Linked DNA regions of Ovis aries. The protein of the gene in region 1 interacts with the protein of each later gene in a pairwise test. Links are inferred from orthologs where the notes say so. Each region holds a gene or a part of one and is shown in the gene's direction. Other genes may lie near its edges. The genes, in order: FHL5, ATOSB and CREM.

Region 1 (10,350 bases):
GAGAAAAGTAGGACTAGCCTGGTAAGGGCATTTCTGGGCAGAGAAAAGGAGATTCCAGACTACTAAGATAATATGAAGAGAAATTTTGGAATTCCTAAAGTATGAGAAATATGAAAAATGATTTGGGAAGTAGTGTAAGAAGAAGCTGGAGAGACTAGAGGAGGAGGAATCACAAAATGGCTTACATGCTAAGCTGAGAAGTTAGCCATTCTCCTAAAAGCAAGAGGTTGCCTTTAAAGATGAACCAGGGAAGCGAGGTGATTGTCTTTTAAAAGGATCATCCATTCTGAAAGGCAGTTTGACAGTTTGCCAAAATCCTTTAAAATGTATGTATTACTTGTGAGATCAATGTCTCCTGAGAAGTAAAATGTGAACTTAAAAACGTGTACAAATCTTTTCCCCCCAGCCTCTGATAGAAGAGAAGTGTGGATGATACATCTCTCAAGGAAAGGAGGCAGTCTTCCACCAAAGAAAAGTCCTTTCTCTGACTAGTCAAGCTAAGACAAAATCCCCACAGGTTTTCTCCTTTGTCTATTATTCATTATAAAGAAGAAAAAATCATTTTAGCAAATTGTTTTCCTACTAAACTGTCTTACTAGTAAAGTGCAGCCTTAAATTAAATGTTTAAGTTTAAATTAATGAACTTAAGAGTGTTCTATTTTTTTTCTTCTCTCTTTCCCACCAGAATCTAAGTCTTGTGAGTCATAAATTATAAATGCTGAGGCTAAGTTTTGATGTTGAAGAAAACAGATCATAGAGAAAAAAAGAGGAAGCGTTATTCCATCACATACTTCATTATGCTGCAGCCATTATTTGCAGCCACTTCAAAAATATTTGATTTGGAAAATCACAGTATATTAAGTAAAAAAGATATATGCAGTGTGGTTTTGATTTTCTTATTAAACATATTTAACTATAGCTGTGTAAGTATTTGCATGAAAATTCATAAACATTTCCTGTATAGCTACATGTATGCATACAGAATATTTCAAAGATATTTGAGTGAATTGTGACTGTCTCTTGGATTGCAAGTCATTTTAAACAATGTTTTTCATTATTTCAGACTTTCTGCAAGAAGCGTGTATTTTATAATTCCATAAACATATCTTTAAATATTGTTTTATAGTGATACAAAGAAATTATAGAAAGGGACTAGATTGAGGCAGACGCCAAATGTTTTATGACTGATAACAACAATCCAAGTGAGAAATGCGAGGGCCAGAATGCAGGGATAATGACAAATCTAGGAAATATTTAACAAAGTAGAACCACCAGAAGTTGAGGATGGGGATGGTGGAGACTAACTGAGGAAAGTGAGAAGTCCAAGGTACGATGGGTTAGGTGACGGTGCCATGTCCTGAGACAGGAAATGCGGCAGACCTCATCTGTACAGTGGGAGGTGGGGAACAGATAAAGGTGTTTGTTTGGGATGCCTATGGACCTCTGTGCAAAGACAGCGAAGAGACCACAGGATACAGGCCTAGAACCTTAGAGAGCAATACCAGCTGAGAATACAGGTTTAGCAGTCATAATATATTGCTAATTGTTTTCATGAGAAAATCCATGGAGAGGGTAGAGAAGCATTCTGAACTGAGAATGAAATTCTAGGGAAGAGTGAGGTGAATAAAGGGAAAGGAGGTTGAAGATGCTAAGCCCAAGGAGAAAATTAGGAGAGAATGACTTAGTGAAACCAAGGAAAGAGAGTTTCAAAAAGAAATGGACATGGCAGAGATGAGAAATTTCAGGTAAGATCAAAGACAGTTACTCTTTAGAGTGTTAACTAAGATATTTTATGAGCTTAATGGAGCTATGTGGAGTAGTTTGAGAATGGAGCAGGAGGATCTTAGGTTGGATGCGTGAATGAAGATTACCCTCTCAGGAAAACACGGGGGCAATAAAGAGGGTTCCATAACTACATGGGGACATAGGCGACTTTATAACTCCTGGACTCTACTTCCTCACCTTTAAAAGGAGAAAATTAATGCCGGTCTATCCGTGGCATCATGAGAATTAAAAGCTATTACTAGTAATAGATTTTATGTTAGATTGAATTTTTATAATAGTTTGAATGTTCTTTTGTCCTTTCACTGAATCAATTTGTTGCTGCTCATCACAATGTTTTCATTTTTATAATAACTTTATCATCAAAGTCAGGTGAATAACAAGGCACTGAGTTGATTGCTTTTATATATTTCCCTAGCTCAGGTTTTTTGATTGTATGTAACTGAGTTTGACCTCAGAAAACACTAACATATTTCTTTGGCACCTGGAACAAGGACAGGTCAAGTTTGGTCTGGGAATAGATGGAGTTAAAGCAGAACATTTCCTTCCTCACCCACCTTTACAAACTGAAGAAATGGCCTTAAACAGAGAGATTAAAAGTAAATGTCACCTGCTTTACAGATAAATATGACCCACAGAATTCCTGTTGTAGATTAGTTCAGTATTCAAACATTTCTTTAGATCCATCTCCTGAAACATCTGGCCACTTTTTAAGTTTTGATTTCAGATTTCAAAAGGCTGAGTCTGTGCTTAAGTGAAGTCATACTGCCATGGGCATGACGTAACAATTGTTGCCAGCTCAGAGGGAAAGAGGCAGAAGCAGGGAATGCCAGGTCCACAGTACAGGTGCAAGAAGCAGGTTAACTACTTTGAGTTATCCGAGTCAAGTCTAAGGTTCAAAGTTCACCAGTTTCCCAGGAAGGCAGTGATAGAGGCCACACCCCACGATTCATCTCTCAAGCTACGAAAAACGCTACAGGTGAGAACATCAGGCCTCATCTCTTTCCAGATATTTCAACAGAAAATCTCTGTAGTTTGTCCATTTCTAACCTATAAGAAGATCTGATTTTAGCTCAGTTGGTAAAATACCCGCCTGCAATGCAGGAGACTCCAGTTTGATTCCTGAGATGAGAAGAACTCCTGGAGAATGGATAGGCTATCCACTCCAGTATTTTGGGGCTTCCCTGGTGGTTCAGACAGTAAAGAATCTGCCTGCAATACAGGAGACCTGGGTTCGATCCCTGGGTTGGGAATATCCTCTGAAGGAGCGCATGGCAACCCACTCCAGTATTCTTGCCTGGAGAGAATCCCTGCGGACAGAGGAGCCTGGCAGGCTGCAGTCCATGGGGTCGAAGAGTCGGCCATGACTGAGCAACTAAGCACAGCACACAGCAACCCATAAGAAGGATTCTGTCACTGAAATAACAGCAACAACAACACACACACACACACACACAAAACAGGAAATACATCATCCTTTATAGAAAAATTTTTTTAATTTAAATATACCCTCAATTTAGACTATGCAGTGGGAATTTCTTGAGTGTATGTGAATGTCTGTATGTACACTTTATATTTTAAACTTTCTGGAGATTATCTAGACGTTTCATGTACTAATTCTGGCAGGATTTCCCTTTAAGGATGTCCCGCAGAGAATTTGCTACTCATAATTTTAAGTAAAAATTGACGAGTGCTTTTTCAGCCCAGTAGGAGTCAGCTATGTACATGTCACAAGACTTGGAGGAAACCCACACACCCTCCTATTTTCTTCCACAAAGTTAAAAAGGCTGCAGTTGGGAGGGACCCTCAGATAGTTTTGGTGGCCCATTCTGTACCTCTTGGAGGTAACATATGAATGTGTAAATCATCGTATATTCTCCTTTCATCCTGTTTAAACTGTTGGAAGAGGCTTTAAGAAAAAGTAAGTTTTGTTTTCTTCTCCTTAATGTTGTCTTTGCATTTCTAATTTTTTTTTTAAGTGTGGGAGAGTCTTATAAACTTTCTCATTGCTACTTAAAGGAAACTTTGTGGTGACTTGGTTTTACTTGGCAAGCAAGATATATCTTGAAGTTTCTTAGAAACTTTTTAAAAGGCATTTGAGCCAGCAGTTATCAAACTTTATATGCTGAGCTTTTCAGATTTCTCAATTTGATGCCATGTGTATAAAGGCAACATAGTAGCCAAATAACTCTTGAGTTGTCTCCTGAGTTCTGAAAATTGTCTGTAATTGGAGATACAGCTTCATTGTATTCATAAAAAAGGGAATGACTTGATTCTGGGGTTTTAATTGGCTTAATTTATTTGAATGACTAACTTTATCACTAAGGATATTTTATGGCTGGATTTATATATCCAGAGCACAATTTAAAGTCATTTACAGATTTTGAGTTAGTGAGATTCCTGCTATTAAAAAAAAAGAAAAACTGCCTATTTTTCACAAGCAGGCATAAAGACAATTCCTAATCTTAGGCTTTCTAAGATTGAATTAAAATATCTGTGTGTCTGACCCATGTGTAATATGCTAAATGAATCTAAAGCATTGCTTCTTGAAACTGAGATAGTATCATGAAAGCAGAAGTATGGTTCCCATATGTGTTTATACTTTTTCCCTCTCTAATCAGATTCTTTTTGGTGTCTGTCATCCATTTGAAAACCAAATGCAACACCTCAACTTGTCAATTTGGGTTTTGGAAATGTGGGAACCAAAAAGAATCATTAATAAAATGTGTAATTCTTATAAATAAAATATAACAAGTCATTTTAGCTGTCATTTCACATTCACAATATTATCATGTATAGGTTCTAGGATTTTTATTAGCAACATACATGGGTTAAAATTTAGCACAAACAATTGCAGATATACACATCGCACAGGATATTTATTAACATGTTTGTTATGATCTGTGCCTAAAGCCATACTCCAAACTGCTTGGTGGGAAAGGTAAACTCTGACATCTGTTTTCTACACTTGTTCTATTTATTCCCATGTGTTGTCATTAGTTGCCAATTCTGGGACTGTTCTACCTAAACAAGAGCAGCAGATTTGTGCTTTAATGTAACATCACCTCACTGACAAATCTACCTCTTATTTTTATTATATTTGCCAACAACATTCTGAGTAAAGTTGGATTAATTGGGGTTCCTTAAGCGAGGCTAGCAACTTTCTACTACAATATTGAAGATAAATTTTTTTCTAGAACATGCTGCATAAGCTTAGATTTGTTTTTTCACATTTTCAATCTAGGAAATGACCTCTTTAGAATTGGAAACCAAATACTTGGGTTCACATGCAAAGTTCTGAATCAGATGTCAGTTAAACAACCTTACATTTCCATGTTCTTGTAATTCTCATTATCCTTTCTGATTGTCATCATTTTTCTTGGTTACCTTTTGGCCCCCTGGAAGGAATTGTGAATAGGAGGGGAAGGAGAAAGAGGATACGGGACTCCCTCCTACCATAACAGCTCGAATCCCTCCAAAATTATCAGCTTGAGCACTATCTCCACATTAGACTTGGGATCACAGATTCTCTTAACAATCTGAGAATCAACGGACATGTCTCAGAAGGAAAAAAGCACATTGTATATAGATTTTTTTCCCTTAACAGTTCTGGGGTTGATATACTCTTGAAACCTGTTCTTGAGTATTCTTGAGGTGTCCTGATTAGGAACTACTATTCTCCACAAAACCTGGAGTTGGTGGGTTTATGCAATCTTTAAACGGATTAAGGTGGAAGTATGTCTGTCTCTCTCAATTTACCCAAGGACAGGTAAGGTTAAGGCAAAGATTTTAGCTGAAGATGACATTTAAGGGCTAATTTTTGAAGCAGATACATAATCCATAGTCATACTTGTTCTGGATAGCATGTCTACTGATATAAAAGTGGAAGATTCAAATATCATAAGTTTCTTCTGTGGAGACTAAGGCTTAGAATGGAAAGGTGATAGGACTAAGCCTCTAGAGACCCCAGAATGTGGAACAGGTGACTGAAGCGGGGCCTCCCTATTCTCTGGCCATTCTCCCAAATCCCCATACCGACCTATTGGTAGATTGGGGCATAAAAGGAAAGATCTAAACCAGTGCCCATTATCTCATCTCCTCTACTTCAGGGATCCCGGACTTTAATCTCTCCTCCTTTATTGGCTCCTCTCTTCAGCATTTAAGCATATTCAAATCCCCCATCTTGAAAAGCTTCTGCTTCATTACCAAGCTTTTCCAGTTTACCCTCATTCCTAAGCTTTATAGATCAATATTCTGAAAGTATTGTCTACACTGTAAAGAATCCCCACTTTCTTAGCCCTCACTTCTCAGTCTATTGTTGTCTGGCTTTGATCCTCATCAGTTTTCCCCAGCTCTCACTGAGGTGATCAATCACTAGTGTATTGCTAAATCCAGCAGAAATTTCTTTCTTATTCTCTTTGTGCTGTTTCAGAACCATTTTACCTTCATCTCCACTTTTCCCATCTTGAAACACTCTTTACCCAGAGCTTCCATGATGTCCAACTGCTAGTTTTTCTCCCACCTATGCTCAGTCAGTTTCACAGATTCCTCTTCCTCTTCCCTATATCCTAGACTCCTTTTCTCTTTCTGAGCAATGTCACAGCTTCAGTTACAGTCTATTCTATATTCTTAGGAGTCCAAAATCTTTATGTCCAGCTAAGATATCTTTCCTGAGCAACAAACCTCTATGTCTGATTGTCTGCTGAATATAGGACTTCCCAGAGCAGGTGTAGACCTTAGTGAATACAATGGAGTAAGTGGAGGGACATGAAGGGCAAGCCAGGTAGAAATTTTGCCCTATAATTTGCCCTGGGATCCTTTTCAAAATGTCCAAGGAATTTGTGTGGTTTCCCCGCACTCACTCTTCGGACCTGACTCAATAGCTCTCCTTGACTTTCCCACAGTCCTCTCAAGTCTCATTTTAATCTAAAAGTAAACTCATCAACCACCTCTCATACTTCCCACCCTGCTTCCCCTAAGTATCCTCGTACAGAAAATAACACCATGATACAACCAGTTGCTCAAGCCAGAACCTGGAGGTGAACTGACTCCACCTCTCCCTCAATTTATATACCCAAAGAATCTCCAAATTCTGTTGACACTACCTCATCCACTCACCAGCTTCCCTCCTCTGTCACTGCCATAACCCTATTTCAGGCTGCCATCCTCCTTTATTTGGTGAACAGTAGTCCTTTCATGGGTCTCCCTGCCTCCAGAATTGCCTTCTTTGGCTTCACTCCCCATACTGAAGCCAGAGTCATTGACGTGAAACTATTGGTCTAAAAATAGATTTATTTTGACTATCTCTTACTTCAAGCCTTTTCCTGACTCTCCACTGGCCTTAGGATAATGTCCAGATTCCTTCTCAAAGTTAAAGAGAAGTCGCAGAGTTCAGTGGGTTACAGCAGAAGTCCCCAAACTTTAAAGTGCTCAGGAACCACCTTGTTAAAATGTATATTCTGATTCTGTAGGTCTGGGTTGGTGCCTCAGTTGTTGCATTTTTAACAAGTTCCCGGGTGATGCTGATAATACTGGTTCATGGACCATACGTTTCATGCTAGATTGGCTGGAGCTCAAATCTCTGTTGTATTCCTCACTAAATCTGATAACTTAGAAGAGTCACTTAGTGCGCACACAAGTGTGCATGTGTGTGTCATTGTCCTTTCATACGAAATGAAGATCCTGACAGTGTAACACTTTCTCAGGTTTAAAATGAGGAACAAATGTGTTATATTAAAATTACAACAGTGTCTGGCACAGAATAAGTATTAAGCACAAGTTATTTTTCTTACTAGTTAAGACTCTGAATTGGAGAAGGAAATGGCAACCCACTACAGTATTCTGGCCTGGAAAATCCCATGGACAGAGGAATCTGGAGGGCCACAGCGCATGGAGTTGCAAAGAATTGGACACGACTGAGCAACTGAGCCCTGAGCACAAGACCTTGAATAATTTAGCCTCTATCAGTTCAGTTCAGTCACTCAGTCATGCCCAACTCTTTGCGACCCCATGAACTGCAGCATGCCAGGCCTCCCTGTCCATCACCAACTCCCAGAGTTCACTCAAACTCATGTCCATCGAGTCGGTGATACTATCCAGCCATCTCATCCTCTGTCGTCCCCTTCTCCTCCTACCCCCAATCCCTCTCAGCATCAGAGTCTTTTCCAATGAGTCAACTCTTCGCATGAGGTGGCCAAAGTACTGGAGTTTCAGCTTTAGCACCATTCCTTCCAAAGAACACCCAGGGCTGATCTCCTTCAGAATGGACTGGTTGGATCTCCTTGCAGTCCAAGGGACTCTCAAGAGTCTTCTCAAACACCACAGTTCATAAGCATCAATTCTTCAACGCTCAGCTTTATTCACAGTCCAACTCTCACACGACTACTGGAAAAATCATAGCCTTGAGTAGACAGACCTTTCTTGGGAAAGTAATGTCTCTGCTTTTGAATATGCTATCTAGGTTGGTCATAACTTTCCTTCCAAGGAGTAAGAGTCTTTTAATTTCGTTGCTGCAATCACCATCTGCAGGGATTTTGGAGCCCACAAAAATAAAGTATGGCACTGTTTCCACTGTTTCCCCATCTATTTCCCATGAAGTGATGGGACCAGATGCCATGATCTTCATTTTCTGAATGCTGAGCTTTAAGCCAACTGTTTCACTCTCCTCTTTCACTTTCATCAAGAGGCTTTTGAGTTCCTCTTCACTTTCTGCCATAAGGGTGGTGTCATCTGCATATCTGAGGTTATGGGTATTTCTCCCGGCAATCTTGATTCCAGCTTGTGCTTCCTCCAGACCAGCATTTCTTATGATGTACTCTGCATATAAGTTAAATAAGCAGGGTGACAATACACAGCCTTGACGTACTCCTTTTCCTATTTGGAACCAGTCTGTTGTTCCATGTCCAGTTCTAACTGTTGCTTCCTGACCTGCATATAGGTTTCTCAAGAGGCAGGTCAAGTGGTCTGGTATTCCCATCTCTTTCAGAATTTTCCAGTTTCTTGTGATCCACACGGTCAAAGATTTTGGCATAGTCAATAAAGTAGAAATAGATGTTTTTCTGTATCTCTCTTGCTTTTTTTATGATCCAGTGGATGTCGGCAATTTGATCTCTGGTTCCTCTGCATTTTCTAAAACCAGATTGAACATCTGGAAGTTTATGGTTCACGTATTGCTGAAGCCAGGCTTGGAGAATTTTGAGCATGACTTTACTAGCATGTGAGATGCATGCAATTGTGCGGTAGTTTGAGTATTCTTTGGCATTGCTTTTCTTTGGGATTGGAATGAAAACTGACCTTTTCCAGTCCTGTCGCCACTGCTGAGTTTTCCTAATTTGCTGGCATATTGAGTACAGCACTTTCACAGCATCATCTTTCAGGATTTGAAACAGCTCCACTGGAATTCCATCACCTCCACTAGCTTTGTTTGTAGTGATGATTTCTAAGGCCCACTTGACTTCACATTCCAGGATGTCTGGCTCCAGGTGAGTGATCACACCATCATGATTATCTGGGTCATGAAGATCTTTTTTGTACAGTTTTTCTGTGTATTCTTGCCACCTCTTCTTAATATCTTCTGCTTCTGTTAGGTCCATACCATTTCTGTCCTTTATCAAGCCCATCTTTGCATGAAATGTTCCCTTGGTATCTCTAATTTTCTTGAAGAGATCTCTAGTCTTTCCCATTCTGTTGTTTTCCTCTATTTCTTTGCATTGATCACTGAGGAAGGCTTTCTTATCTCTCTTTGCTATTCTCTGGAACTCTGCATTCAGATGCTTTTATCTTTCCTTTTTGCGTCTCTTCTTTTCACAGCTATTTGTAAGGCCTCCCCAGACAGCCATTTTGCTTTTTTGCATTTCTTTTCCATGGGGATGATCTTGATCCCTGTCTCCTGTACAATGTCACGAACCTCCGTCCATAGTTCATCAGGCACTCTATCTATCAGATCTAGGCCCTTAAATCTATTTCTCACTTCCACTCTATAATCATAAGGGATTTGATTTAGGTCATACCTGAATGGTCTAGTGGTTCTACCTACTTTCTTCAATTTCAGTCTGAATTTGGCAATAAGGAGCTCATGATCTGAGCCACAGTCAGCTCCTGGTCTTGTTTTTGCTGACTGTATATTCTCCATCTTTTGCTGCAAAGAACATTATCAATCTGATTTCGGTGTTGACCATCCAGTGATGTCCATGTGTAGAGTCTTCTCTTGTGCTGTTGGAAGAGGGTGTTTGCTATGACCAGTGCATTTTCTTGGCAAAACTCTATGAGCCTTTGTCCTGCTTCATTCCATACTCCAAGGCCAATTTTGCCTGTTACTCCAGGTGTTTCTTGACCTCCTACTTTTGCATTCCAGTCCCCTATAATGAAAAGGACATCTTTTGGGGGTGTTAATTCTAAAAGGTCTTGTAGGCTTCATAGAACCGTTCAACTTCAGCTTCTTCATCATTACTGGTTGGGGCATAAACTTGGATTACTGTGATATTGAATGGTTTGCCTTGGAAACAGAGATCATTCTGTCATTTTTGAGATTGCATCCAAGTACTGCATTTTGGACTCTTTTGTTGACCA
Region 2 (10,350 bases), on another chromosome or scaffold:
AGTCAAAATTCAATTCACATCTTTATGAACCTGAACAGATGGGCAAACTCATCCTCTGGAGATAATCAACCCCATCTGGCAAAAAGAGAACAGTTATCAATTCCAAGAGCCAAAACACACAAAGATTTTAGTAATGCTGGGGAGAGGGGGAGTAAGTGGGTGGGGGGCGAGTGGAGTTGGAAGGGGCGGGTGGTGGGGAGAGGGAACTCAGGACTGACAAAGACCTGCCCAGTGGTCATAAGCACCATGAGGAGCTCTCTGGCACAAACCAAGACCTGCTGGCATGTCCAACACACACGCATACATATGATCTAGAGCCCTCTTCCTCCTTAATTTACTATTTCTGACTCATTTTCTTCTTCAAACTATGTAATATAGATGTGAAGTAGAACCTCAAGTCTCCATGTGTGGCCTTTGTTTTTCCTCCTCCTCAAACTCTAAACCTTGCCCACAGCTATCTATATATGTCAGTAGGTTCCAAATCTTTATCTTTAGTTCAGACTGCTCTCCTCAGCTTCAGACCTATATGTCTAATAACCCACGAGGTTTCTCTACTTGAATATCACTCTGTTACTCAAACTCAGTATGTGAAAATTTAAAACCACTGGAATGCCTTAAAATATATATTCTACTTCTTCACCCAGAAAGTCTACTTGACAAAATAAAATCTCCTTGTTCTGTTTTAAAAGATCAGTGTGCTTAGAGTCACCAAATTATTATTTTTCTGTTGGTCCTAAAGTAAAAAGGTTCTTGTAAAGATTCACAACTCTTACTAAATAAGGGAATGTTGACATTATTTGGAACAACAAACAATTATAAAAAACCTGTTTTATCTGTACATTTAATGCAATCCTAATAAAAATCCTAGAAGATATGCATGTGTATGTGTGTCTATGAAAACTGGCCAGCTGATCCTAAAATTTATACAGAAATGGAATGGGCTGAAAATAGTCAATATAATCTTATGATCTTGAAGTTGGAGGATATACACCACCACATATCAACGCAGTAATTAAGACAGTGAGACAATGGTGCAAGGAGGGACAGGAACATATCATATATTATTAACATGTGTTTTATGAAAAACAGACATTGCATAGAAAAGGGGGAAAGGATTGTTTTGTTCATAAAAATCATCCAAAACTTGGAAACGCTGCAAAGAAAAGACATCAGGGGCAGCCAAAGATTACCCAGGCAACAAACTTTTGCTTTACTCATGATGTGTTATTAAGGGCTAACTCTGCGTACTACCATGTGTAAAATAGGCAGCTAGTGGGGAGCTGTTATACAGCACAGGGAGCTCAGTTCGGTGCTCTGTGATGCCCAAGAGGGGCGAGAGGGGAGGCAGGGTGGGAGGGAGGCTCAAAAGGAAGGAGATATATGTATAGATACAGCTGATTCACTTTGTTGTACAGCAGACGCACAACACTGTAAAGCTCCAATAATAAATTTTAAAAAGGAAATTACCCCCCAAATAAATAAACAAACAAAAATTAAAGGCTAATTCTGTGAAGTCATATGTTAACGAATAGATTTTTGTCTGGTGATGATGCAAAGGATTTCTGATTATTAGAAAACGTTATGGTGTTACTATCCTGTAGACACTAACTACCTTTATATCTAATCTAAAATCTCATTTTAGCACTCTTTTTTCAAATGCCTGTGAATACCCAGGATGGTTAATTTTATGTGTCAACTTAACTGGGCCACAGGGTACCAAATATTTGGTCAAACATTATTCTGGATATGTCTATAAGGATGGTTCTGAATGAAATTAACATTTGAATAGGCACACTGAGTAAAGCTTCCTTTACTCAGGAAGGGCTTCCCTTGTGGCTCAGCTGGTAAAGAATCTGCCTGCAATGCCGGGGACCTGGGTTTGATCCCTGGGTTGGGAAGTCCCCTGGAGAAGGGAAAAAGCTACCCACTCCAGTACTTGGTCTGGATAATTCCATGGACTGTATAGTCCATGGAGTCCGAAAGAGTAAGACAGGACTAAGCAACTTTCACTTTCACTGAGTAAAGCAGATTGCTCTCCCTAATGTGGTGGGGCGGGGGAGGGTCCTCATCTAATCAGTGGAAGACCTGAATAGACAAAAGAACTGAAGAAGAGAATTTCTCTCTGACTGACTTCCTTTGAGCTGAGACATTAGTCTTTTTTCCTACCAGTGGACTCGAACTGAAAAATCAGTTTTGCCTGGGTCTTCAGGCTGCCGGCTTTCAGACTGTAACTATACTGGCATTTTTCTTGGTTCTCAGGCCTTTGGACTGGAACTGGAACTACACCATCAGCTATCCTGGGTCTCTGGCTTGACAGCTTGGGACTTGTCAGCCTCTGCAATACTGTGAGCCAACTCCTTATAATAAAACCTCTCCATTTGTATATCCACATATACACACACCCGGAACTCTGACTAATATAATCCCTAATTTCCTCAATTGCTCATCACACATGCTTTACCTGCTTATCTTTGATATATGTTCATTCTAGCTTCTTGTAAGAATCTTGCTCTTAACTTTTTGGAAATTGTACTATAACAGTTTTTGTAAAAGTTTCTGGTTCAACTAAATAACCATATGAGGGAAAAATGAATCTTGACATCTATTTCACACTATACATGAAATCTATTCCAGATGATTAAATAAGAGGTAAAATAATAAAGTTCCTAGACAATAACCTAAGATAATACACTCATTTCCAAGTAGACAAAGACTTTTAAAATAGGGCATAAAAACCATTGAATATAAACAAAAAGATGTAAACTGGACAGGTTAAAGAAGCTCTGCATATTGAAAGACTCCACTAAGAGAATAAAGTCAAGCTACAGAATGGGAAAATGGATTTGCAATAGATTCCTCATCAGAAAAACATCAAACAAATTCCAGCTGAAAGACATTCTACAAAATATCTGAAATATCTGATCAATAAAATTGTCTATAAAATTGCCCAGATCATCAAGAACAAGGAAGTCTGAGAAAATATCAACGCCAAGAGGAGTTTAAGGAGACATGAAAACTAAACCTAATGTGTTATTCTGGATGGGACATTAGGTAGAAACTAAGGAAATCAGAATAAAGTATGGACTTTAATGATAATGTATCAGTTCAGTTCAGCTGCTCAGTTGTGTCAGATTCTTTGTAACCCCATGGACTGCAGTACGCCAGGCCTCCCTGTCCATTGCCAGCTCCCAGAGTTTACCAAAACTCATGTCCATTGAGTCAGTGATGCCATCCAACCATCTAATCCTCTGTCATCCCCTTCTCCTCCTGCCCTCAATCTTTCCCAGCATCAGGGTCTTTTCAAATGAGTCAGCTCTTCGCATCACGTGGCCAAAATATTGGAGTTTCAGTTTCAACATCAGTCCTTCCAATGGACACCTAGGACTGATCTCCTTTAGGATGTATCCTAAATACATATTTACATGTATTGATATATATAATGTATCAATATTGGTTAATTAATTATAGCACATGTACCATACTAATGTAAGACATTATTAATTGTGGAGAACAAAGCAGAGAATTGAGTGTGGGGTACACAGAAACTTTCTGTACTATCTTCACAAATTTTCTGTAAATCTAAAATTATTCTAAAATGAAAAGTTTATTTTTAGGGATTTTCCTGGTGGTCCAGTGGTTGCCCTTAGCCTTTCAATGCAAGGGGTGTGGGTTGGATCCCTGGTGGGGAGCTAAGATTCTGATGCCTCCCACCAAAACATCGAAAACATAAAACAAAAACAATATTATAACAAATTCAATGAAGACTTTTAAAATGATCCCGATAATAAAAAACCTTTTTAAAAATTTATTTTTTTAATCTAGTAATTTACCCAAATTTAGCTAGTAATCAAGTAATTTGCCCAATACAGCTAGTATAGTGTCCTTACCAAACCAAATGACTTCAAATTTGAGCTTTTTCCATGACACAAAACTCTTCCAATTTTACCCTCTATAAGGGGACGACAGAGGATGAGATGGCTGGATGGCATCATCGACTCAATGCATGTGAGTCTGAGTGAACTCCGGGAGTTGGTGATGGACAGGGAGGCCTGGCGTGCTGCGATTCACCGGGTCGCAAAGAGTCGGACACGACTGAGCAACTGAACTGAACTGAGCATTACAGAAGTATTAGAAAGACAATCTGAGCAGTTCCGTAAGAGCAGAACATTTTTTTCTTTTTCTGTTTTCATTTTGCCTAGCGCACCATTGGTGTTTAGTAAAGCCGCTTCTTAACTACTCACAGAAAGAAAGTCACAGAGATCTAAAGAATCTGAGACTTTGAGATAACTTTACCAGGTCCAGTCCATCACACAGCCATCAATACCTCCGACTCCATCGAGAAGCTCACTAGGCTCTGGGCTCAGAGCCACTCGGCTCTGCAAGGGACCTGGGATGCCATCTACCGGTGGCTCGTAAGCGTCGCTCTCCCCTGGACATATCTTGGGAACTCGTGGGGCTCCCGGGAAGTTGAAGACTCAAGCGCTAATTAAATTACAGAACGTGTGTAACAGTCATACAGGTTCAGTCGACTGAACAAAGCAAAGGCTCTACTTTGGCTCATAAAATTCACAGACTTCTCGCCGACCTACCTCCACAGCTATAGACCTAACTCTTACTGCCTGTCTCCTACACGCCGTAGGCTACAGAAAGTGCTCTTCCTCACAGACTTGAGACCCCGGCCAACCAGATTCCCGCATTTTCACAGAATTCTGAAGCTCTTTGCACTACTTTGCAAACCCTACAGATCTCCCCCATTAGGGCAAATACGCGCGCTAACCCAGATGCCTTCACTAAGAGGCTCAAGTTCCGCAGGCAGCTCACACCAGCTCGAAAGCCTGGGATGGCTCCAACCTGGTTCGGGCGCCCACAAGCAAGCGCTTTGGCGCAGGTTCTGGCTCCCCATCTCCGGCCGGATCCGGTCAGCCCAGGCCGCACACTGCGGACTGAGGCCCCGCCCCTTTAGACCTGTCATCACAGAAGCCGCACGTGGCCGGGGTGGGCCCTCAGGCGACCTGCAGCCATCACTTTGTCTCCTCCGCCATCCACTGGGGCCACCGCCGCCAATCAAAACCAGCGGTTCCGGGCTGCAGCGCCAGCGCCGGGGTGAGGCCAGCCAGAGAAGGGGCGGGGGGAGGAGAGGCTCCGAGATGGGAGGGGGCTAGCAGTGGAAGCGAGCCTGGCACCGGTTCTGCCAGCCTGGAATCCGAGGGGGCGGATCCTAGTGAAAGGCGAAGACCAGAAGGGGGCGGGGATCAAGGATGGGGCGGGGACCGGGGTGGGACGAAAGACAAGCAGAGGTTCTCTGTGGAGACGCCAAGAAGACGAGAAGGGGAGGAGCCAGAAAGGGGCAGGACCTGAATTACAGGGGAGGAGCCCCAGGAATTAAAGAATCTAGGAAAGGGGACGAGCCAGGGGAAGGTGGGAGGTGGGACAACGGAGAGGGTGGGTCGTGTCGTTGCGGGGGCGGGGCTCGGACCAAAGGGGCGAGGTTTGCAGGCCGAGGCTGCAGCTAGGGCAGCTATGTAACTGCTCCAATCCACTACCTCCCCAGTTGCAACGGGACTCGCGGAACTACAGGTGTGGGGCGGGTGCGCGTGGAAGAATGGACAAGTACGGGGGTGCGCTTGGGTAGACGTGAAGCGGGAGGATCATGTCAGGGAAGGAAAAGATCTGGAGAAATGCTGGGGTGGGGATGGAGTAAAACAGCTGGAGGAGGAGGAGGGGGGCTCACTGGGCTAAGAGGTGCTTTCTCCGGTACCCCTTGTGGGGGAAGGGCGGGAGTGCTTTGTGAGGCTGGGAAGTACAATGTGAGGGGGTGAGGTGAAGTGAAGGGTTGGAGATGATACTTGAGGGGGAGGGGATATGAAGGCGCTTTAGGGGAAAGTGGAGGGGGCGTTGTGTGATGGAGATCGGCTAGTGGTCCAGAGTGTGGGAGGGACTGTGTGGAGGAAGAAGGTGTGGGGGCTGTGGGCACTGTGTGAGGGGAAGGGGTTACAGGCCCCAGATGAGGAGGGGAGAACCCCTAGTGCCTTGAGAAAGTCTGGAGGCTTTGTAGAGACTCCAGGAAGAGGTTTTTGTACAGTGTCTCAGGGATGAGGGTGATGGGATTACTCGGGTGAAGAAGCCAGTCTGCAGTGTTCCTGGCTCCTCAGCTCCTAACTCCACCTTCAGGCCTGAGCACTCAGAGAGGATGCAGGCCCCACTTGCTACTAGAGCTTGTGTGACTGTCTCAGTCAGCTTTGGATCTGTCTGGCTGAGACTGGGATATTTTTCCCTTAGCTGGTGTCCCTGGGGACCCTTCCCCCCTTAGGTTCTGGGTACCCCTCACTGTAGTTCCTGTTCCTCCTAGAAGCTTGCCTTAGTCCCTGTCTTTCCCCTCCTCCCCCAGTTTGCCCTGCCCTTATGCTCTGGGTGTGCTCATTTCCCACTTCCTTCCTCGCCTGGGGCCTGGCCTGGTCCTTGCCTGTCTAGGAGCTGTGCCCTGCCCCAGACTTTGTACTCAGTGGCCAGAGACCTAGGTAACCAGCAGCAAGGCCCAGACCTCACCCTCACTGCTACCAAGGTCTCTCCCCACAGCCCCCCAAGTGAGTGGTAGATACCTTTTTACCACTTGCCACAAACTGATTTCTGCACACTTTTCCTTCTCCTGGGTAGGGAACCCTAATTCCCTCAAAAACTCTGGGCTTCTGTGGGAGAGGGAAATGGTCAGAAGTACTGAGGGTCTGCGATGCATGCTTTGAGAGGTCAGCCACTATTGTTGGCTGAACTGGGAAGGGAGGTTCCAGTTTCCACTGGGGGAGGGACAGGGAATGGCTCCCCACCCTCCTGGGTTGGAATCTGACTATCTGAACCAGACTAGGGCCTAGTCTCTGATTCCCTGAGGCGACTTGATTTAGCGCCAGACTTCTTTTTGCCCCTGGGCAGGCTGCAAGAGGGTGAGAAAGCCCTGCTTTCCACACCGTGGCTGAATGAGAGTGACAGTGTTGCTGAAAGGGGCCCCAAGCCAGTCTCCTCTGGCTGAGAGACTGGCTGGGGAGGGAGGGGGTGCCAAAGCCAGACAAAGCCGTGGGGTAGGGTGGGGTAAAGAAGGGCAGGCTGAAGCCTTTTGAGGAGGAGCTGATTGCTATGGCAACACAGCTTCCCAGATTGTCTCTCAGAGAGGCGGGCTTAGGGCGGACTCACTCCAGCTTCCTCAAGATTGTGGCATTTGTTTGAGTGGGTGGGGCATGAAGAGAAAGGGCATTGGTTTGCTATGCAGGGGCTGGAGTATATAGACTTTCTACTTCCTTACAAGCAGCAGAGCATCCAGATGCTTGGACCCATCCTCTGAAAATGGGTAAGAGTGAACAATAGCCATTAGGATTATAGCAGTATAAGGTCAGAGTTCTAGAGGCCTCAGTGGTAACTGTGTATACAAACTCATTTTACAGATTTGGAAATTAAGAAAGAAGAGACTGATATTTTCTCCAGGTCTCATAGTGAAAGACCAGGCATTGGGACCCAGGTCTTCTGAATACTCTTCACTCAGCCCAGGGGTCAATGTTTCGTTGAGCCAACATTTATTGAGCACCTATTATGTGCCAGGCACTGATACTGATTCTGGGAGTACTAGCATGAATACAACAGAGTTGCAGCTCTCATGGAGCTTGTATTCTAACCCAGGGAGAAAGAAATGTGTGTGTGGCTGCAGAGGGAGAGAAAGGAGAGGGAGGGGGAAAGAGGAAGAGAAGTGCCAGCTGGTGATAACTGCTATGAAGAAAAATAAAGCAGAGTAAGAATTTAGGGCAGCTAGGTAAAGCCTCTTGATTGTACAACGCTGCTTGCTCTCCCAGAGCACACTGAGGCCTAGGACGTCTTTGATCCTTCCCCCTGAACTACTGCCCCTAGACTTTTGCAGATGACTAAGGTCTGGGCCTATGGTCTTGGCAGTTAGATAGAACACGGTGGGGTCACCAAGGGGTTACTTCTTTCCTACAGTGTTGTATGTCTACCTGTCTTCCCAGTAAGCTTTTACTAAGGTAGGTAGGCTCTTAGATTGCTACTCTGCAACTTAGTTCAGGTTGTTGAAAATTCCCTAAATCCTGTTCCTTAGCATTAGGGAACCAGCAAGGAAGTCAATCCATGGCAACTTCTTTTTCAGGGTTTTCCCCCTGGTTTGAGATGAAGAGAAAGGAAGCTAGAGGAATTGTTACTCTTTTGTCCTTCCTAAGTCCAGGGCACAGTGAGGAAGTAGGTGAAGAGAGCCTCATTCTACTGTTCAGTGACAATTTCAGGGCCCTTGGGGCCTGCACTACAGGCAAGGTAGAAACAAGGACCTTGGGGCTTTGGTGGCATCTGAACTACAAAAGAATTCACTCCGCTCTTCCAAAGATATGGCCAGGGAGCATGCCCTGCCTAATGCCAGTTCTCCAGGGCCTCAGTTTGGGTCTTCCCTTCTTTGGCTCTGGTGTTTGGCTCTTTTTCCTATGGAAGACCCCAGTCTTAGCAACCTCTTAAGTTCCAAATTGTCTGACTTCACAAGTGCAGAGGGAAAAGTAGACAGGACTGTTTCTTTTCTTAGCTTGCCCATAGATCAGCCCCTCTAAAAAGTGTCTTTTAATGTCTAATCCTTGCAAAGGTTTCCATCCTGCTCATTTAAAGAACAGGGCTTCCCAGGTGGCGCTAGTGGTAAAGAACCCACCTGCTGATGCAGGAGAGACATAAGAGATCCCGGGGTCAGTAAAATACCCTGGAGGAGAGCATGGCAATCCACGTCAGTATTCTTGCCTGGAGAATCCAATGGACAGAGGAGCCTGGCGAGCTATAGTAATAAGAGAATATGAATTAGGAATGCTGGTTCTGCTGCCACTTAATTTGGTTGGGTCTAAGCTGGGCTTGGGGCCCAGTGACTCAGGAGGAGGGTGGGGAGTTTCGAGGGAGTTGTGAGTCATGGGGGTGAGCTCTGTCACAAGAGTTGGGCATGTTTCCCCTTACTTTGGGCAGAAGCCTTCCGATCTCACTTTCCCTGGGTGCTCTGCCTCCTTGAACAGGGGCTTATGAATAGAAAGAGTACTGGCAGAAAGACTGAAGCAGTTTGATCTGAAAATGAAAGTTTAAAGACATAATGATGTCTAGGTTCCTGAACTAAAATGTATCCCTATCTCAGGAGCCCCTGAAGCCTTCTAATGTAGGCAAAACAACATCAATATAGAGTAAAAGAAGGAAAAATACCATTTCTCAATGGAAGGAGATGAGATCCCTCTTCAAGACCTTTTTATCCTGGCACGAAGGAAGCTTCCTGAGCTTCAGCAGCCCTGTGGTCTCTGGTTTGCAAGGCACGGAGAGATGATGGGAGTGGGGATATTTGGAATCTAGTGTTGGAAGAGCAAGCTGACTTTGGGGATTGTCGAAATTTGTCTATGAACTCCCTAGGCCGTCCTATTAACCTTCCTCTGAAGAGGAAGGGCGCGGTGAGAAGTGGGAGCCCGACGTCTTTGAAAGGGTTAAAAGGCAGGGCTGAGAGCTGCTTTGGACTCGGGCAGTTGAGGGGTTAAAATGGGCGGGGCAACCCTAGGTAGGCCTGCCCCCTTATGGACCAATGGACAGGCATCTTTTGAAGGGGGCGTGCCTCACGCTTGAGGCCGTGTGGAGGCTGGCCTCCTTTAGGCCAATGAGTATGGTCGCTGCGATGGGGGCGTAGCTTGAGGGGGGCGTGGCGGCCTCGAAGGCTGCCGCGGGGGTGTGAGGGGAGCTGGGCGGGGCGGGCTGCCCCATCAGCTGGTAGGAAATGGCCTGTGAGTCAGAGGGGCAGCGGAGTCGGCTTCGCGGAGCCGGGGCGGCCACGGAGAGGGACAGTCGCGGGGAGGGGCGCGGCAGCGGCTTGGGGGCTGCGGGCGCCAGGACCCGCTAGTGTTGCCCAAGAAACTGAGCAGGGAAGAACCTAGCAGTGCAGGACTCAGCCTGAGCCACCCTTTGTCTGGGTTGGGGGCCCGAGGCGGGGAGGACCGGGCATTCGAGGGGAGGGACCGGGACTGGACGGAAGGGCCCGGAGCAGCGGCGCCGCGGCGGAGCCAATTTGGGAACGGGGTGAGTTTGTGGTAGGGGAAAATAGAAAATCTCCGAAGCTCCAATAGGGAATGGGGCCTGTCCCAGGTTGTGAGGAGGAGAAAGGTGAAGCAGGACCTGGGAGGCTAAATAGGAGGAGAGGGAATCGGTCAGAACAAGGAGTCTTAGAGCCCGGGTGCTGGAGTGAGTCTCCTGGGCTCATTTTGGAGGAGGTGCTAAGATTTGCTTCCTCTCCAGGAAGGGTGGAGGGCTCTAGGCCAGAGGCAAGGGGTTGGTGAGATAGCAGAGGGTAACCTGCCTACCCAC
Region 3 (10,350 bases), on another chromosome or scaffold:
ACTCAGAAGTTATCAGGCAAACTGCATTGGAGAAGACAGATGTCATCATGGAGTTTACATTCTGGCAAGGGAGATGGGCTTTAAATACATGATGACATAATTACTTAATTAAACTTATGATAAGTGCTACAACAGATGAATCTAATAAAATGAGGATACATAAATGGTTAAAGGGGCTGAATTCAGTCTGCCAAGTAAAGGGAAGCCTCATTGAACAAGACACAGTGAGCTAAGCTCTGAAGAATGAATAGACATTAACGAGGAAAAAAGAAAAGGGAAAAGCATAATAGTCAGAGGGAATGGGCATATGCAAAAGCCCTGTCGTGGCCTGTTCCAGAAATTAAGAGTGAAAAAAATCCTATCTTGATCATCATCAGTCAGTTAGTTAGGGACATTTTATCACCAATTCATTAATCTCTGAATTTGAACATAACATCAAATTTATAGATGAACTATATTCTAAAAGTTTGATGAGAAATTGTTTAGAAGGAAAAATATTTTCCCATGACAAAAACAGTAGAAATAATAGTACCATGAAGCCTATTTAACCCATAAGGTAATTTCTATTGATTGTTCTCCTTGAAGTCTGTTCTCCATAAATAGTTTTTTTAAATCACCCTTTGACAAAATAACTGAACTATTCCATTTAAAATATCAAGGTTAAGAGAAAAAAAAGGTTGAAGAATAGTTCCAGAATAAAGAGATATAAACAGATAAGTGCAATGCATGACTCCAATGGGATAATGGATGGGAGAAGACAGTTATTGAGAATAATGTTGGGAAAATTGACAAAATTTGAATATAAGTCACAGATCAAGCCTGGGATACCATGATAGGAGAGAGCAACCCATGTTGGGCACAGAATTTATGATGGCACAAGAACTCAGTAATCAAAATAAATGACATTTGAATGTAATACTTAAAAAGAATATTTAATGCAAAAATCCATAATGAACATGATTAGATATGTGTTCTAGCTTTCTAAATGAAATAGAATCAGAGAAAGTAAGGAAGAAAGGTGCTTTTGATGTTCTTCTCTAGCAACTAAATGGTAGTCAAAAAGGAAAAAAAGGAGAAACTAAAGAGAGTATGGGCAAAGATGTGGGGGTAGGAGGAATAACAGGAAGCCATAGGTGTGGGGTGCAAGAGGAAGGCAGAGATATAGATGAGGAAGGCACTGGTGTGGATATGGAAGAAGGCATACATGTGAGATTTATGAGGAAAGCACAGCATGACAGAAGGAGAACACTGTACCCATGGTGGACCTAAATGTTGGGAAAGGGAGGGGAGGTGGCAGGTATAAAAAAATCTCTCCAATGAAGAAAGTCAGAGAAGGAAAGGAAGGGCAATCAGACTGTTTCCTGCCTTCATGGGTGGGAAGTATCCTTGCATCCTTGACTGCAAGGATATTGGATATTTAATGATTTAACAGCTTCCTGTGACTTGTCAGATAAAGCTAACACTAGTGAAAGTGGTTTTAATCACCTATGTACTATGCATCTGTGTGCTAAGTTGCTTCAGTTGTGTCCAACGCATTGTGACTCTATCGACTGTAGCCTGCCAGGCTCCTGTGTCCATGGGATTCTCCAAGCAAGAATACTGGAGTGGGTTGCCATGTCCTACTCCAGGGGATCTTCCTGACCCAGGGATCGAACCTGTGTCTCTTATGTCTCCAACATTGGCAGGCAGATTCTTTACCACTCAGCCACCAGGGAAGCCCCCTATCTACTATAGCAATAGAAAAAAAGAATCTAGCTTGAACTGAATTCAACATCAAATTTAGAGAGGCGATTGAGTGTTTTAAAGGAGAATGGAAGAATAGGGAGGGGCTGAATGGGGCTGAGAAGACTCAGGAAAGTGATTAATACAAAAAGCCAGAAGGCAGTATTGGGTCACTTGGATCTATTTGGGCATGTTAAGTGGTGCTTATGAAAGCTCCTAAGGATACAATAGATGCTTTCTGACTGAGGTGCTGGAGAAGACTCTTGAGAGACCTCTGGACTGGAAGGAGATCAAACCAGTCAATCTCAAAGGAAATCAACCCTGAATATTCACTGGAAGGACTAAGGCTGAAGAAGCTGAAGCCACGATTCAAAGAGCCAGCTGACTGGAAAAGACCCTGATGCCGGGGAAGACTGAAGGCAAAAGGAGAAGGGGGCAGCAGAGGAGGAGATGGCTGGATAGCATTATCTACTCAATGGACATGAATTTGAGCAAATTCCAGGAGACAGCAGAAGACAGAAGAGCCTGAAGTGCCACAGTTGCAGAGTCCATGAGATCTGAAAGAGTTAGTCACGACTTAGCAACTGAACAACAGTGATACAGGGTCTCTGTCTTGAGTTGTCACTGGAACGGGCTACAAATGCTTTTCAGCCCCCTCTGACTCGTATTTGCATTTGAAGCCCTCTGTCTGATGGATTCTATCTACAAAGAATGTATACTTTGTTTAAAAAAATTTAGTGATAAACAAGTAGGTGGAGAACAATGTTTTGGGAAGGAGAGTGATCACTGCTGCTGCTGCTGCTGCTGCTAAGTCACTTCAGTCATGTCAGACTCTATGCGACCCCATAGACGGCAGCCCACTAGGCTCCTCCGTCCCTGGGATTCTCCAGGGATTACAATTCCCCATAAATCACTGGAAGCTAAAAATCTATTCTTCCAGCACATGGTCAACCTTGATCAAAACAAAGGTTATGACTTCTCAGGTTTAGCATTCTGGTCTTTTTTTCCTTCTCATTCCTTCCAATGGCTCTCTCTCTCTTTTTTTTTCTGAACTAAAATGAGCTTCATTGATTACTTACGAATAAATACCCTGTGCCAGCCTTACCTCAGCACACACAGGAAAAGGACTTGGTTAACTTTTTTATTAGCTTTGTAATGTCCCTCATTTTTAACAGGAGGAGGAGACAGGCATCGACTATTGTCCTGGAAGAATTTCAAAGCTCTGCTAATGTGGAAAGGAGAACGTGAACCGACCACGTTATTACCCTGTCATCTCTGCTAGCAGGCATTTACTGCTGCCAGTACGTCGGAATGGCAATAATCTGGCACTGAACAGTTCAGGATTCTCCCCTTCCGGAAGAACCGCACTGGGATCCTACTATTTCTCAAAGCTGCCCATCTCCACCTGCACTACGTGGCTTATGCTCTTATTTTCTTTACTCAGCAACTTTTCAAATAGTGTCCTTGATGGCAGTTCTCGGTGTGACCCACTCCTGAGAACCTAAGGTCGGGCGTTGGGTCACCGTTATAACAGGGTTCCTGGTACACAATAGGTGACCGTTTTATCAGCCGGGACCGCCCCTATTACTAGAAAACCCCGGGTTTCCAGCTAGGCGAAAACGAAACTCTCCCCTCTTCCAGGCGGGGGTTTTGCTTGTTGCCCAAAAGCCTTCCTGTCTTCCGCGAAATCACCAAATGGGGACCCCAGGACCCTGACAAGGTCGCCGAGGATCGGGCGGGCGGGGCCTCCGGGGCTCGTGGCCGGAGGCGGCGGGGTGGTGTCCGTAGGATGCGCTCCCGGGCCTCGTCTGGCAGCTGGGGACAATCCAAAGGGAAGCCACTTCGGCACACACAACGGCACCACCTGGGTTAGCAGTTTCCAATGGACTGACTTCCGAGAGCAGGTGCCACCTAGCAATTTCCGGTTCTTTCAGTACAGCCGCAGATCCCGCCCGCAACGCGGTCCTCTTCCCCGCCCAGCCTACTTCCTTCTCCCGGCCCCGCCCCTGGCTCCCTCCTCCCCACCTAAGACCCCTCCTCCCAGGCCCTCAGGCCCCGCCCCTCATCCCCTCCCCCCCGCCCCGTTCCATTCAATTGTTGGATTGTCGGCGCCGCACTCCCACAGGCGGCCGGCAGGGGGCGGGGTTCGAGCGTGGATTTCCCCGGCGTCCACTGGGCAGGGACGGGCGCGGGACGGGCGCGGAGCGGGGCGGGCGGGTGGACGCGCGGACTCCAGGCCGCGAGCGGGCGGGCGGCTGCGACGCCGAGTTGGATCGCGCTCGGCGGGGAGGCCGCGGCCGCATCAGCGCTGACGTGGGGCAACGTGGGCCGGCGGCGGTCCCGGTGGGGCTCGTCGTCCCACCTCCTCGCGTCCGTAAGCAGTGACGAGGTCCGCTACGTAAATCGCTTCGCTGCGGGTAAGTGGCGCGCCGGCCGGCGGGACCCGCGGGGCCTGAGGCGGCGGCGCCGGAGCCGAGGCGGGGCGGAGCGGGTAGCCGGGGGCCGTTTGCCCCGCGCACCTCAAGGGCTTTTTCCGAAGGGCCGCCGCTCCGGCTCCTGGGAGGGGAGGGCCGACGGGCGACGCGGGTCGGTCGGCTTCGCTCGCTCGCCAGAGCCGCCGCCCCCAATTCTCGCTACCCGAGACCCCGAGCGGTGCTTCTGGAAGGCGCGCTACCTTCCTTCCCCGTGCCCCGCTGGCGCCGGGACCAGCCAGCCAGGCGACCGCGGACCCGACCGCGGACTCAGAGGGACGAGCGTCCTCGGACGGCCGGACCTGGATCCATAGTGTGAGCCGCTTCCCTCCCTGCGCGGCTCGGGCAGCGGCGGTCGGCCGGCCCGAGGGTGAGCGATGCCGCCTGGCGGAACCAGTTCGGCCCACACCGGAGGCCCCGTAACCGAGCGGCTCACCCAAGCAGCTTCCGAACACCTCTGGCTTCCCCGCCTCATTCGCCGGGCTCCTGGGAGTGCAGCCACCCTCCCTGCAAATAAACACAAACCGAGATGCGCAGGGCTGGAGGTCCAAGGTGAAGACTGTGTTAGAAGACAGGAAGGTCGTGTTCTCTGGTTATTCCCCTGTGGGTACCACATCTTTGGCATCCATGCTGCTTTTGAGTAACAAGCTGCTTTCCCCTCATCAGTCACAGTCTTTAAATCTTTGACCTTAAAAGGAACTTTTTCCCCACTCAGTTCACTTCAGTTCAGTCGCTCAGTCGTGTCCAACTCTGCAACCCCATGAACTGCAGCACGCCAGGCTTCCCTGTCCATCACCAACTCCCGGAGATCACCCAAACTCAAATCCATCGAGTCGGTGATGTCATCCAGCCATCTCATCCTCTGTCGTCCCCTTCTCCTCCTGCCCCCAGTCCCTCCCCAGCATCAGAGTTTTTTCGAATGAGTCAACTCTTTGCATAAGATGGCCAAAGTATTGGAGTTTCAGCTTTAGCATCAGCCCTTCCAAAGAACACCCAGGACTGATCTCCTTTAGAATGGACTGGTTGGATCTCCTTGCAGTCCAAGGGACTCTCAAGAGTCTTCTCCAACACCACAGTTGAAAAGCATCAGTTCTTTGGTGCTCAGCTTTCTTCACAGTCCAACTTTCACATCCATACATGACCACTGGAAAAACCATAGCCTTGACTAGACGGACCTGTGTTGGCAAAGTAATGTCTCTGCTTTTGAATATGCTATCTAGGTTGGTCATAACTTTCCTTCCAAGGATTAAGCGTCTTTTCATTTCATGGCTGCAGTCACCATCTGCAGTGATTTTGGAGCCCAAAAAATAAAGTCTGACACTGTTTCCACTGCTTCCCCATCTATTTCCCATGAAGTGATGGGACTAGATGCCATGATCTTCCTTGTCTGAATGTTGAGCTTTAGCCAGCTTTTTCACTCTCCACTTTCACTTTCATCAAGAGGCTTTTAGTTCCTCTTCACTTTCTGCCATAAGGGTGGTGTCATCTGCATATCTGCGGTTATTGATATTTCTCCCTGCAATCTTGATTCCAGCTTGTGCTTCTTCCAGCCCAGCATTTCTCATGATGTACTCTGCATAGAAGTTGAATAAGCAGGGTGACAATATACAGCCTTGATGTACTCCTTTTCCTATTTGGAACCAGTCTGTTGTTCCATGTCCAGTTCTAACTGTTGCTTCCTGACCTGCATATAGGTTTCTCAAGAGGCAGGTCAGGTGGTCTGTATTCCCATCTCTCTCAGAATTTTCCACAGTTGATTGTGATCCACGCAGTCAAAGGCTTTGGCATAGTCAATAAACCAGAAATAGATATTTTTCTGGAACTCTCTTGCTTTTTCCATGATCCAGCAGATGTTGGCAATTTGATGTCTGGTTCCTCTGTCTTTTCTAAAACCAGCTTGAACATCTGGAACTTCACGGTTCATGTATTGCTGAAGCCTGGCCTGGAGAATTTTGAGCATTACTTTACTAGCATGTGAGATGAGTGCAATTGTGCGGTAGTTTGAGCATTCTTTGGCATTGCCTTTCTTTGGGATTGGAATGAAAACTGTCATGTTAAGTGATGGTAATGACACAGACATTTTTGGTGCATCTGTAAAATAGTTAAGAGTAAACTAATGCTTGCACAATGACTTGGTCTTCAACCTGGAGTTGCTTTGGTGAGTGTGAAGTTGTAATTACATGGATGTTTTGTGTGCACATTTTGTAATAGTGTATGAATAAATTTTTATTGAATGTGTAAACAAAGAAGAACGCTTTAGTCTTTCTGTTTCCCTATTGCCCCAGAAGCTTTCCTGAAATCTGGTGAATTTAACAAATTCCAGACTCCATAGACTAGTTTCCCACTGAGACAAATCATTGTATGTTTAAAATATGAAATCATGTTTAGAATTAAGGACATTTCATGAATAGTACCATTCCAGTGTTCTTGCCTGGAGAATCCCAGGGACGGCGGAGCCTGGTGGGCTGCCGTCTATGGGGTCACACAGAGTCGGACACGAATGAAGTGACTTAGCAGCAGCAGCAGCAGCAGGGAAGTATGTTCAGGTTAACATACAAAAGGAGTCCTGACTGAATCTTTTATCAGTATAGACATATATTCCTGATCCTGTTTTCTCCACCCTTGTGTTCTCTACAAGTTAATATTGGGCCAGTTCAACTGGGGAATGTGCTCAAATGTCATGGCCTATTTAGATAAACTTTGAAAAATAAAACTGAACAATGCAAATACTTAACAACTGCACCATTGATGTTTTGACATGCAATCAGTAGTGGTCATTAAGGAAATAAACCTGAAATGTCATTGAATCCTGTTAATTTTCTACTTAATGAGACTGCTGTTAACCCATATAAAAGTCAATTTTGAGAAGAATTAGTGTCCTACATTGAATCCAGTTTCAATATTATCAGTACAGGTATATACATTGTAAAAATATAGATTTCAGGGGAAGTGTTTCTCACCCATTATACACATGTAGATAAGTTTGAAGAAACTGAGATATACATTTTAAATCATTTTGTTAATTCCCTTTTAAAGCACACAAAGTATGTAAAATACTTTTTACCATGAGAATTGCACAATAAACAGTGCCCTGTTTTTAAATCTTTCATTCATGGGTTTTCTTTTAATGATGCTATAGGATATCCAGTAAAAAGTAAGAGAGAATGAAGAGAATAACGTAAGGATGACATTACTGAAGACAAGTTGAGTCTTATGGTATAATTCAGTTATAGCAAATTTCAAAAATACCTATTTTGCAAATCTCTTGACTGACCATCCCAGGAGTATTATAGGAAATTATTGGCAAGGTGCACGCAAAACAGTTTTGAAAAGCATGGGCTGGTAAGGTTATTTGGAACTGTTTAAAATAACTGTCTCCCTGGTGAGGAAGGAGGCTTGCCTCCAAGAAAACCTTACTAGCAACTTTTTGTGAGGCTCTCCTGAAGTCTCTCTCCCCAAATGAGAAGCAGCTTCACGCACACTTTCTGAACAAATGTCAAAATGAAATTCTGCTAAATTGTAACAGTGGGGTTCATGTGATTCTAATATTTTTACTTTTGAGGATTCCTGAAAATAAACTCAGTTTCTTCAAAGTTATCTTAATGAACGTTTTTGTTTTTGTTTTGTTTTAAACTCAGCAGACTTAAAATTAGAACATCCTAACTCAGAATGTCAAATGTCATAGAGTTTTGTTCACATTCTCAAACAGCTTCAATTTTTTTCCACTGATAGCACAAAAATTATTTTTTCTACCTAGAAATGCTTAGTAATTTATAGCATAGCATTGATTGTCATGAAAGTTTCCAGTTCTGGCATTGGGACAACTATGTATCATGCATAAAGACACTTGGGATGCTTTTGCATTTCTTAAAATTATTGGAGGAGTGAAGTTTAATTTATTTAGACATGTGTCTGCACTTGGACACTAATTTTGTTCGTATACACAAGATAGGACCAACCTGAGTATCACAACATTGAAATTCATTTCTATAAACTTTAGCTAAATCCAGTGTCTTACCTACTCTTTCCCAAATTTACTAGTTAGTGGTCAATGCAGTTGTACTTTAAATGTAGGTAAGTGTTTTTGAAATATACCTAAAGTGCAGCAATGGAGCATGCTGTTGAAAAACCCTACAGTGATTATTAGTCAAGCAATAACTTCCCCAAAAGACTGAAAGTTTTGTTTCCTTTCATGAATTGGAGCTGGAGCAGGGAAGGGGGACTTGGAGACAAGGAAATAGGCCATGATTATTTGAATTTCATTTTTCATTTCCTCCTTAGCAGCAGATCTGCTGTTCATTGACTGAAATAGACAAAAGCAGGCACCAGGGGGGAATGAATTGAGAATGAGATGCTTGAATAATTTTTAATCCTTTGGTGGTTTTAGTAAAGAGTTAATATTTCTTAAATAATAATAGGTATCTGAGGTGGCTCAGTGATAAAGAATCTGCCTGCTAATGCAGGAGATGCAGGGGACATGGGTTCAGTCCCTAGGTTGAGAAGATCCCCTGGAGGAGGAAATGGTAACCCAGTCCAGTATCCTTGCCTGGGAAACTCCATGGAAAAGGGGGAGCCTGACAGCCTGCAGCCCATGGGATTGCACACCACTGAGTGACTGAGCATGCATACACGCACGCATAATAGGTATCTGAAGCAATTAAACTGGGTGGTCTTGAATCTGTATTAGAATGCTGCTTGATTTTCTGGGTGATTCATGTTCAAAGTAGTAAAGACAGTATTTGCAAGTGTTTCAAATAATTATTTACAAAAACTATTCCTGACCACTTATATTTTTACAGAGAAGTGTAAAAATTGTTATTTGAAGGTTATTCTAATTTTGCTTCACAAAAATTACAAAAAGTTAAAGTGGCATGATTTCCTGTTACTACTGTATTTTTTGTTTTTCCTGTACTCATCTTCACCTAAAAATACATAATAATCATAGGATCATCCCTGTCAACTTCACATATATGGCTTTTGGTAATTGAAGTTGACTCTTGAACAACATGGGGGTTAGAGGCACTAACCCCTGAATATTCCCATATACTTTTTGACTCCCCTAAAACTTAACTAATAGCCTATTATTGACCAGAAACCTCACCAATAACATAAACAGTCAATTGAAATGTATTTTGTATGTTATTTGTATTATATACTATATTCTTACAATAAAGAAGCTAGAGAAAAGAAAATGTTATCAAGAAAACCATAAGGAAGAGAAACATTTATAGGACTGTACTGTATTTATCAGTACTATAAATTGACAAGATGAATCATTTGTCAGTACATCAGTACCATCTTAGGTGATAACAAAACACTGTAGCTGTTATTATGTATTCCTAACACTAGACATCAAAAATGAAAAGGTAATATGAAAAGAAATTTTGTTTCATTTATAGATATAATGATTCATGCATTGACAGTGGCACAGTAGCCTAGGCTATACACTAATGAATGAATCATTGTAGAAATTTATGACATATAATATTACAGTCATTTATAATACAGTATTGGAAACATTGTTACATTAAAAAATCAAAACACTCACCTATCATGACAGTTTCTCCAATTATGAGAGTGAGGCATACTGTATGGTCATGTAACCCTCTGAATGTTATGAAAGAGTAAGAAAACTAACACGCTATATTAAGTGCCTACCACTCACCTTATGCCTATGTTCAGCTAGATTAGAATCTCTGTATATTTTATGCATTCGTGACATACCTTTTCTTAAAAAATATTTTCAATATTTGTAGGCTATGAGTTTCACCTGAGAGTTTTTTCAAATTGTTGCCTGTTTCCCCTAAATTTCCAATATATGTATTGAAAAGAATCCGTATATAGGTGGACCCATGTTGTTTCAATCCTGCGTTGTTTAAAGGTCAACTGTACTTCTCTTTTCTAGCTAGCCTGCCCTTCCCCAACTTTTTAATTGACTTGGTTGAGAAGAACCAGCTTTACCTTATGAACTTCATAGTCTTCTCCTATCTTCTTCCAAACCTTACTGTTGCTACTTAAATCATAGTTAACGTGTGAGGGTCTCCTACTTTCCCAAAGAGCTAAAATCTTTCTTAAACCACAGCCCAAGAAACAGATTATCCATTCCTGTGTTCTCTCTTTTCTTGCTTCCGTTAGAGGTGCACTGCCCTTTTATTCC

The links.
Region 2: the proteins of FHL5 (region 1) and ATOSB interact in binary tests that used the Homo sapiens proteins (3 or more experiments, as listed by UniProt). The two-hybrid records come from large-scale screens. The link is inferred for Ovis aries from reciprocal best matches to the Homo sapiens genes FHL5 and ATOSB.
Region 3: the proteins of FHL5 (region 1) and CREM interact in a two-hybrid assay, tested with the Homo sapiens proteins (2 studies listed by BioGRID). The link is inferred for Ovis aries from reciprocal best matches to the Homo sapiens genes FHL5 and CREM.

Annotation. Positions count from the first base shown.
Region 1 is NC_056061.1:40,493,197-40,503,546, reverse strand, and holds the start of FHL5 (four and a half LIM domains protein 5), read left to right. Parts: upstream 1-3,590; 5' UTR 3,591-3,703; intron 3,704-10,350. UniProt on the Homo sapiens protein: May be involved in the regulation of spermatogenesis. Stimulates CREM transcriptional activity in a phosphorylation-independent manner.
Region 2 is NC_056055.1:53,357,050-53,367,399, forward strand, and holds the start of ATOSB (atos homolog protein B), read left to right. Parts: upstream 1-4,986; 5' UTR 4,987-5,103; intron 5,104-5,477; exon of another isoform or gene 5,478-5,618; intron 5,619-7,205; exon of another isoform or gene 7,206-7,336; intron 7,337-9,754; exon of another isoform or gene 9,755-10,065; intron 10,066-10,350. UniProt on the Homo sapiens protein: Transcription regulator that may syncronize transcriptional and translational programs.
Region 3 is NC_056066.1:17,619,348-17,629,697, reverse strand, and holds the start of CREM (cAMP-responsive element modulator), read left to right. Parts: upstream 1-3,906; 5' UTR 3,907-4,139; intron 4,140-10,350.